Linked DNA regions of Cricetulus griseus. Each later gene encodes a partner of the first gene's protein in a complex. Links are inferred from orthologs where the notes say so. Each region holds a gene or a part of one and is shown in the gene's direction. Other genes may lie near its edges. The genes, in order: Eif3g and Eif3e.

The links.
Region 2: Eif3g (region 1) and Eif3e share a complex: the UniProt entries of both Homo sapiens proteins name them as parts of the eukaryotic translation initiation factor 3 (eIF-3) complex. The link is inferred for Cricetulus griseus from reciprocal best matches to the Homo sapiens genes EIF3G and EIF3E.

What each region holds. Positions count from the first base shown.
Region 1 is NC_048597.1:133,768,000-133,772,555, reverse strand, and holds the start of Eif3g (eukaryotic translation initiation factor 3 subunit G), read left to right. Parts: upstream 1-1,486; 5' UTR 1,487-1,577; coding exon 1,578-1,597; intron 1,598-1,713; coding exon 1,714-1,760; intron 1,761-1,952; coding exon 1,953-2,036; intron 2,037-2,140; coding exon 2,141-2,229; intron 2,230-2,351; coding exon 2,352-2,411; intron 2,412-4,361; coding exon 4,362-4,466; intron 4,467-4,556. UniProt on the Homo sapiens protein: RNA-binding component of the eukaryotic translation initiation factor 3 (eIF-3) complex, which is required for several steps in the initiation of protein synthesis.
Region 2 is NC_048603.1:9,459,949-9,463,757, forward strand, and holds part of Eif3e (eukaryotic translation initiation factor 3 subunit E), read left to right. Parts: intron 1-2,175; coding exon 2,176-2,290; intron 2,291-3,809. UniProt on the Homo sapiens protein: Component of the eukaryotic translation initiation factor 3 (eIF-3) complex, which is required for several steps in the initiation of protein synthesis.

The sequences.
Region 1 (4,556 bases):
TGAGGCCAGCCTGGTCTACAGAGCAAGCTCCAGGAGAGTCTCCAAAGCTACACAGAGAAACCTTGTCTTGAAAAAACAAAACAAAAACAAAAACAAAGCAAAGGCCATTTGTCTGGATTTTGCATTTCTCTAGTAAATTTTTTGTTTTGTTTTTGTTTGGTTGGTTTTGTTTTTCAAGACAGGGTTTCTCTGTAGCCCTGGCTGTCATGCACTTACTTTGTAGACCAGGTTGGTCTCAAACTCAGAGACCCACCTGTCTCTGCCTCCACAAGTGCTGGGATTAAAGGTATGCACTCCTGCACACGCACGCGCGCGCGCGCGCATACACACACACACACACACACACACACACACACACACACACGGCTCCATAATACAAATTCTACGTGCTGGAAATATAGGTCATCACAAGTGCGCCCAGCGTGTGCTTTCCATCTGCACTAGCAACCCAAACTAAGAAAGAACTTCTTGGAATGCATGTTCCCAGAGGCTGAGAATCAAGTAAAGGAAGATTATACCAGAGTTCTAGGGGGTGTAGCTCTGAGGAAGGAGAAAAGCTTAGTATGGGAAATAGTTTAAGATGACACTGGTAGGAACCCATTTCACATAGAGGAATATTCCCTGAGCCTAGACACACGGGGGAGGGCCTACGTCCTATCCCAAAGGATATGACAAACTGATGACCCCCCCCTATGGAAGGCCTCACCCTCCCTGGGGAGCAGAAAGGGCATGGGATAGGTAGGGTGTTACTTGGGGGAGGGAGGCAGAGGAGGAGGGGAGGGAGAGGGAACTGGGATTAACATGTAAAACAATGTTGTTGCTTTCTTCCTTTTTTTTGGGGGGGGGTTCGAGACAGGGTTTCTCTGTGTAGCTTTGGAGCCTGTCCTGGCATTCGCTCTGGAGACCAGGCTGACCTCGAACTCAGAGATCTGTGCCTCTGCCTTCCGAGTGCTGGGATTAAAGGCGTGTGTCACCAACGCCCGGCCTTTTTTGGTGTTTTTTATTTTTGTTTTGTTTTGTTGACAATGTTGTTTCTAATTCAAATAAAAAACGGAGGAAAAAAAAAAGATGACACCGGTAGAACTTGCAAGATGTCTTTGCAGCTAAGAAGGCTGACTGCCAAGCCTGAAGACCTGGGCTCAGTCCACAAGAGAATAAACTGGGGAGATTGCTATGAGTGCAAACCCAGCCTTCGGTACATCAGTGCGTGGTGCTCATGCCTATAATTTCAGCCCTTCGGAGGTTGAGGCAGGAGGATTGTCGGGAATTGCTGGTTATCCTAGCTACAGAGTGATACAGTGACTTCTAATCCCATCACTCCCCCCCAAAAAAACAATAAATTAAGTGGGTGCGGAGAGTTTAAGAAGTTCTGGACGGTCTCTCTGGGACCTCCTTCCAGCTTGGGTCCCCGTACTTCGCTGCACACGAGAGTCGCGTGTCCGCCTTCGTCCATAGGGAGGCGCTGTGCTCGCCGCGGTCTGGCCGCTCTAGGCTGCAGGGGCGGCACCGGAAGCCTCGTTCTCCCCGGGCTTCCGCTCTCTACCCGGGCTGGGAGCTGCGTGGAGCTAGACTTCGCGATGCCGACGGGCGACTTTGAGTGAGGACGGGGCGGTGGCGGGCTCTCCAGAGAGGCGGTGTGGGGCAGCGCTGGGTGTGTGGTGATCCGGGCGGCGCGGGGGTCGGGACCCGCTCACCCTTCTCGTGTCTCCGCAGCTCGAAGCCCAGCTGGGCCGACCAGGTGGAAGAGGAGGGCGAGGACGGTGAGTGCGCGTGTGCGTGTGAGTGAGTGCGTGAGTGCGTGCGTGTGAGTGCCTGTGCGCGGCCCTCCGCGCCCTGTCCCGGGGCGGGCCGAGCCCCCGGAGTCCCCAAACCCACCCACACCTTGGCCTGGACGTCCCAGCCGTGTGTTTCACTTTCCGTCCCCCCCGCCGCCCCCGCATTGCCTCTGACAGACAAGTGTGTCACCAGCGAGCTCCTGAAGGGAATCCCTCTGCCCACCGGGGACACCAGTCCAGAGCCGGAGCTACTGCCCGGAGGTGAGCCCCGTCCAGCCCTGCCGTCCCCTCCCCCTTCCGGCCCTCGAGCCCGTTCCCAGCAAGTCCCCGTTATCCAGGACTCAGTTCCTGTTGTCTTCCCACAGAGCCACTGCCACCTCCCAAGGAAGTCATCAACGGGAACGTAAAGACTGTGACCGAGTACAAGGTAGATGAAGATGGCAAGAAGTTCAAGGTGAGGCCGAGGTGGCCGCGGGGGCGCTTGGATTGGCGATGAGGGCTGTGAGTGTTGGTTTGGATTGGTGAGGAAGGAAGGCCTTGAGGTTCTGGAAGTCCTTTCTCCCTTTCCATCTTCAGATTGTCAGGACCTTCAGGATTGAGACCCGGAAGGCATCGAAGGCTGTGGCCAGGAGGAAGGTGAGGCCCTCCCATCTGACTCACTTTGGTGTGTGTATGCGGAGGGGTCTCCAGGACTGGCCCAGAGGAGTTGGGAAGTCCTTTCCTGTTGATGTAGAATTAAAAATTTAGTGTCAGGCCCTGGAAATTCAGGGTCCAGGAGTAGTTGAGGTTAGATTTTTTTCCCCCCTTTTGTGTGCTCCTGTGTACAGTGTCATTCCTCCAGCAAATTCCTCTTGCATTGAGATGGGCTTTTGTCATCAGGAATTAGATTTGACTAGCTGGCCACCTATCCCCAGTGAGCCTGTTGTCTCTACCTTTGGAGATAACAATCACATGCTTCTGTGCCCAGCTTTTCATTGTGGGTGCTTGGGATTGGACTTTGATGGGTACTTTTGTGACAAATAATTTGCTAACTGGGACATATCCATCCTCTTGAGTTTTTTGTTTTGTTGTTATTTTTATTTATTTTTTGGTTTTTCGAGACAGGGTTTCTCTGTGTAGCTTTGGAGCCTATCCTGGCACTCGCTCTGGAGACCAGGCTGGCCTCAAACTCAGAGATCCGCCTGCCTCTGCCTCCTGAGTGCTGGGATTAAAGGCGTATGCTACCAACGCCCAGCCTTAATTTATTTATTTTTAAAGATTGATTTATTTGTTTATTATGTATACAGTGTTCTGCCTGCATGTCAGAAGAGGGAACCAAATCTCATTACAGATGGTTGTGAGCCACTATGTGGTTCCTGGGAATTGAACTCAGATCTCTGGAAGAGCACTCAGTGCTCTTAACCTCTGAGCCATCTCTCCAGCCCCATTTGTTGTTATTTTTGAGAGGCTCTTGCTGTGTAGTATTCAGATTCTAAATGCTTCTGCCTAGCCTCCTGGGTCCTGACTTAGATTCTTACTCCTTTGCTCTGTCTACTTGAAGGAACAAGCAGCCTCTACTGAGCAAGGGGCAAGGGCTTCTGGAGGAAGGACATCAACACATTGAGAGCAAGGCTCCATGCCAGGCATTTAGCAAGACATGGCTTCCCAACCTCTAGATCAGGCTAGGGAGGCAGGGAGCTTTGTGGTCCCATTTAACTAGCTTAAGGTTCCTGTGATCTGAGTGACTCTTGGACATCCTCCAGCTTCCTCCCTGGTGGGAGCCCGCCCTGCACCTGCCTAGAAACTTCAGTGGCACAGTTGTGTGCCATTCTACTCTGAGTCTCCTTGCTGTTTCCTGGAGTTTTTTTTTTGCTTCTCTCCTTATGGGGTGTGTGTGGGGGGGGGTAGGTGTGTGGGTGTGTCTCGGGGTCATGAATGGCTGTATATTCACACTCAGACTAGAGGAGGAGATTGGGTGACTTGCTCTGTCATGTCACTTTACAACTTATTCTCTTTAGATAGGGTCCCCTGCCCCTGGGCTATATTTAACTCTTTGGTTTGTTTGTTTTTTGTTTTTCAAGACAGGGTTTCTCTGTGTAGCTATGGAGGCTGTCTTGGCACTGGCTCTGGAGACCAGGCTGACCTTGAACTCACATAGATCTGCCTGCCTCTGCCTCCCAAGTGCTGGGATTAAAAATGTGTGCCGCTACCACCTGGCTCATACTTTCTATATGAGAGTTTTGGGTTCTTTCATGTACAATAACCGGTTTTACACACGGAACCACCTCACCAACACCCTCCCCCCTTCTCCCCCACTCCTTTGTTTTGGCCTCATACAGCAGAGCTCAGGCTGGTTTTGAACTTGTGTATCTCAGGGTGACCTTGAGCTCGGAATCTTCTGTTTCCACCTTTAAGTGTCAGGGTAACAGTTACATTCCACCAAGCCTAGCTTAGGAAATGAGAATTGTCACCATTATCACATGGGAGGCCTCTGGGGACACGAGAATGTAGGATTTAAGGCTCTGACGGGGTTGTCTGTCTGGGGTACCCCACTCTGCTATCTTACTGCCTTTGTCCCCATTTTTCCCTATTCTTCTGGGAACCCAGAATTGGAAGAAGTTTGGCTACTCTGAGTTTGACCCACCGGGGCCCAATGTGGCCACCACCACAGTCAGCGATGATGTCTCCATGACATTCATCACTAGCAAAGAGGTGAGCAGGGTGAAGCTGGAGACCCAGAAGTGCAGTGGGGGTGGGGTGGACAGCGGCCGGCTCTGAGCCACTCTTCCCTATTCCCCACTA
Region 2 (3,809 bases), on another chromosome or scaffold:
GATGTGCTTTTGTTTTAGGTGTTTCACAGAGTCTGTGACTTCAGGAGATAAAAGTGTGAAGTGCTTGTATTCTTGCCAATAGGGTGTGAATATTTTAGCCAGGCTGCCTTGCCATTATTAGCACTGATACTGTTAGGTTTTCTGTTTTGTCTGTTTTTTTTGTTTGTTTGCTTGCTTTTGAATTAGAAACAAGATTGTTTTACATCTCAATCCCTCTCCCTCCCCTCCTCCCCTACCACCCCCCACCCCCAACTACAAACCTACCTATCACATATCCTTTCTGCTCCTCAGGGAGGATGAGGCCTTCCATGGGGGGGGTCATCAGAGTCTGTAATATCCTTTGGGACAGGGCCTAGGCCCACCCCCGTGTGTCTTGGCTCAGGGAGTATTCCTCTATGTGGACTGGGCTCCCAAAGTCCACACCTATGCTAGGGATAAGTACTGAACTACTACAGGAGGTCCCATAGAATTCTGAGGTTTCCTCTCTGAAACCCATGTTCCTGGGGTCTGGATCAGTCAGTCCCATGCTGGTTTCCCAGCTATCAGTCTGGGGACCAAGAGCTCCCCGTTGTTCAGGTCACCTGTTTCTGTGGGTTTCACCAGCCTGGTCTGGACCCCTTTGCTCTTCACTCGTCCTTCTCTGCATCTGGATTCCAGTTCAGTTCAGTGATTAGTTGTGGGTGTCTGCTTCTACTTCCACCAGCTGCTGGATGAAGGCTATAGGATGGCATCTAAGTCAGTCATCAATCTCATTATCAGGGAAGGGCATTTAAGGTAGCCTCTCCTCTGTTGCTTAGATTGTTAGCTGGTGTCATCTTTGTAGCTCTCCAGACATTTCCCTGGTGCCTGATTTCTCTGTAAACCTAAAATGTCTCCCTCTATTATGGTATCTCCATTCTTGTTTTCTTCTATTCTTCCCCCGACTCGACCTTTTTCTTTGTTTTTATCGTAGTTTTTATATGCACTTCCTTCCCTTCCAATTAATGAAGTTGAGATCTTCTCATGTGGCTCGTGTCCTTGTATCTCCTTAAGTGACGGTTAAGATGTTCTAGCCATTGCCCTTGCTCTTGGATTATCTGTCATTTCTTCTTTTGTTAGTGGAGTTTCATATGTAATGTGGCACATTCACTTTGGATTCTGTGGTACACTGTTGTGGACTCTTCCTAGACTCAAAACATAAGTCTAAATATCTCTCCGAGGTGGCTGAGTATCTCAGATTTCTTACATGTTCTCAGTGGCCTTTATATTTATGTGAGTCTGTATTATGTGTTTATTCCCTGTGAGTTAATACAATGTTTCCCAAGCACTCTGCAAATCAAAAACCTGGTATAAGGCGGACTTAGAAAATTGGTGGTGGTTTAATTTTAGAGGTACAGGTGGAGAAGCACATGAATGATCGCAGCTATTAAAAGAGAAAAATGTAAAGGTGTGGCCACATCAAGGAGAGGTGCGAGGCTTGTGGGCGCAAAGGGAAGCTAGAATCTAAAATGTTTAAGAGCCTGTTCCTAGTTACCTGGGTGTGGAGGAGGCAGGGATACTTGCTTTGCAGAGGAGAAGGTATAAGTACTCTTGTATATTGCATAACTTCTTCAGAAAGCATAAAAGGTTGCTTGATAAAACAATCATTGATCGGGAGTAATTGAGAATGACATTCCTTTTCAAATCTTTGGGTAGGTAATATGTTGTGTAAATTGAGTGCTTACTATATTGGTTGCTTTTCTTTTTACAAAAAATGACTGTGTGTGTGTGTGTGTGTACTGGGAGGCCTTAGGCCTTAGGTACCCTAAGCCAGTGCTCTACTACCGACCTGTATCTCTAGCCCTGTGATGCTTTTCTAAAAACTAGGCAGTGGAGGTAAGGGGGGAAACTCAGTGGATTGGCTGCCATAACACACACCTCTAGGTCAAAGGTCAGGGGACAGATAACTCTGAAGTCAACTTTTCCTCATCTGTATGTAATTTTCAGGGATTGAATGCTGCTCTCCTGACTTGCTTATCACCAGCCCCCCAAGATATGCTGAACCAACTCAGCAGCCCTTACACAGACACACAGACACACACACACACACACACACACACACACACACACACCTTTTAAATAGTGTTTCCTGAAGTATGTTTCTCAATAAACAGAAGGACTTAAATATACTGGTTAAAAGTAGTTTTTCTCTTACAGATATATAATGAAAAAGAATTATTACAAGGAAAATTGGATCTTCTTAGTGATACCAACATGGTGGACTTCGCTATGGACGTCTACAAAAACCTTTATTCGGATGACATCCCTCATGGTAAGTTTTATGGTTAGAAATAAAGCACATCATGTAGCTAAAGTGTATGTAAAGTTTTATGATATATGACAGCTGTAGCTAAAGTCAGCTGTCCTTACAGCCATTGGGTGAAAACATGTAGACAGGTTGCAAGATGTGTTTTCTCCTAGTGAAAGATGCGAGTCTACTTTAAACATAGTGATCTAACAGTTGAGACCATAGTGTGCGTCGTGGTACTTACGCCACAGGCTGACAGCCTACAGTTTTCTGAGAATGCTGCAGTTCTGTATATCCGCACATCATCAGCTTACCTGGGGGGAATTCCTTCAGAATGCAGATTTTGGTCCATGACCCAGACCTATTTGATCAGAAACTCCTGAGGCCCTGTAGTGGTGTTGGAGAGCTACGAGGAGAATACTGTAGACAGTTCTTAAGGAAGAAAGAACAGAAAAATGGTTCCTTAAATACCGGAAATACGGGCTGGGCTTGGTGTCTGATCCCAGCAGCATAGGGCCTAGAGGCACAGGCAGGTGAGTCTCTGAACTTGAAGACACCCTGATCTACACAGCAAGTTCTAAGCCTGCCAGAGCTCTGCCTCAAAAAAAAAAAAAAAAAGAAAAAGAAAGAAAAGAAAGAAAGAAAGAAAGAAAGAAAGAAAGAAAGCATAGGAAATACTATTGCTCCTGCCCCCTCTTCTGTACGTGTAAGGAATTCTGGACAGCAAAGAGCTCTTGTTTAAAATTGCTGTTTTTCAGATTTTGATAGCAGGTTCTCATTTTTTTTTTTTTTTTGTGCATGAACTTGGTAGCTGTTTTGCTTTTGGTTTTGAATGTGTCTTGAGCAGAGGTTTATAGAGAAATGCTGGGGGGGGGGCAGTGAGTTCATGTTGGGCCAGACAGGTGGCTCCTATGGGAAAGCATTTGCTGCAAATGCCCCCTGACCTCAGTTTGCTCCCCAGAACCCACAATAAGAGAACCAACCCTGCACTCACACCGATAATCCCCATCATTCATACTGAAAATAATTATAAATAAAGTAAAATTTGGAATAAAACAAGTATCCGGGTGTGGAGAAGAAAACACTGCTGTAGGAAGAGCACTATAGAATGAAGACATTGTTAAAGTCAATATAACTTTCTTTAGTTTATAGGCAGTAACTATTTAAATTTAGTTCGTGATGGGAGTGAAGGGTCTTTTTTTAAATTTTATGTGTATGATGTTTGACTGCTTGTATGTTGGTACACCATGTGTGTGCCTGGTATCCCAGAAGATCTAAAGAGAGCTTCACGTCCCCTGTGACTGTACTAAGAGATGGTTGTGAGCTGCCATGTGGCTGCTGGGGATCAAACTGAGATCCTCTGCAAGAGGAACGAGTGCTCTTACCCGCAGAGCTGTGTCTCCAGCCCCGAGATTGTCCTCTTTATCACAGCTTCCTAAGTGTCGAGAAGTACAAACGCATGCCACCACAACTCTAATGACTGCTAGTCTCTGAGAATTAATCTGAGATGCAGGTTATGTGTGAGTTTTCTCTTTATTCTGGG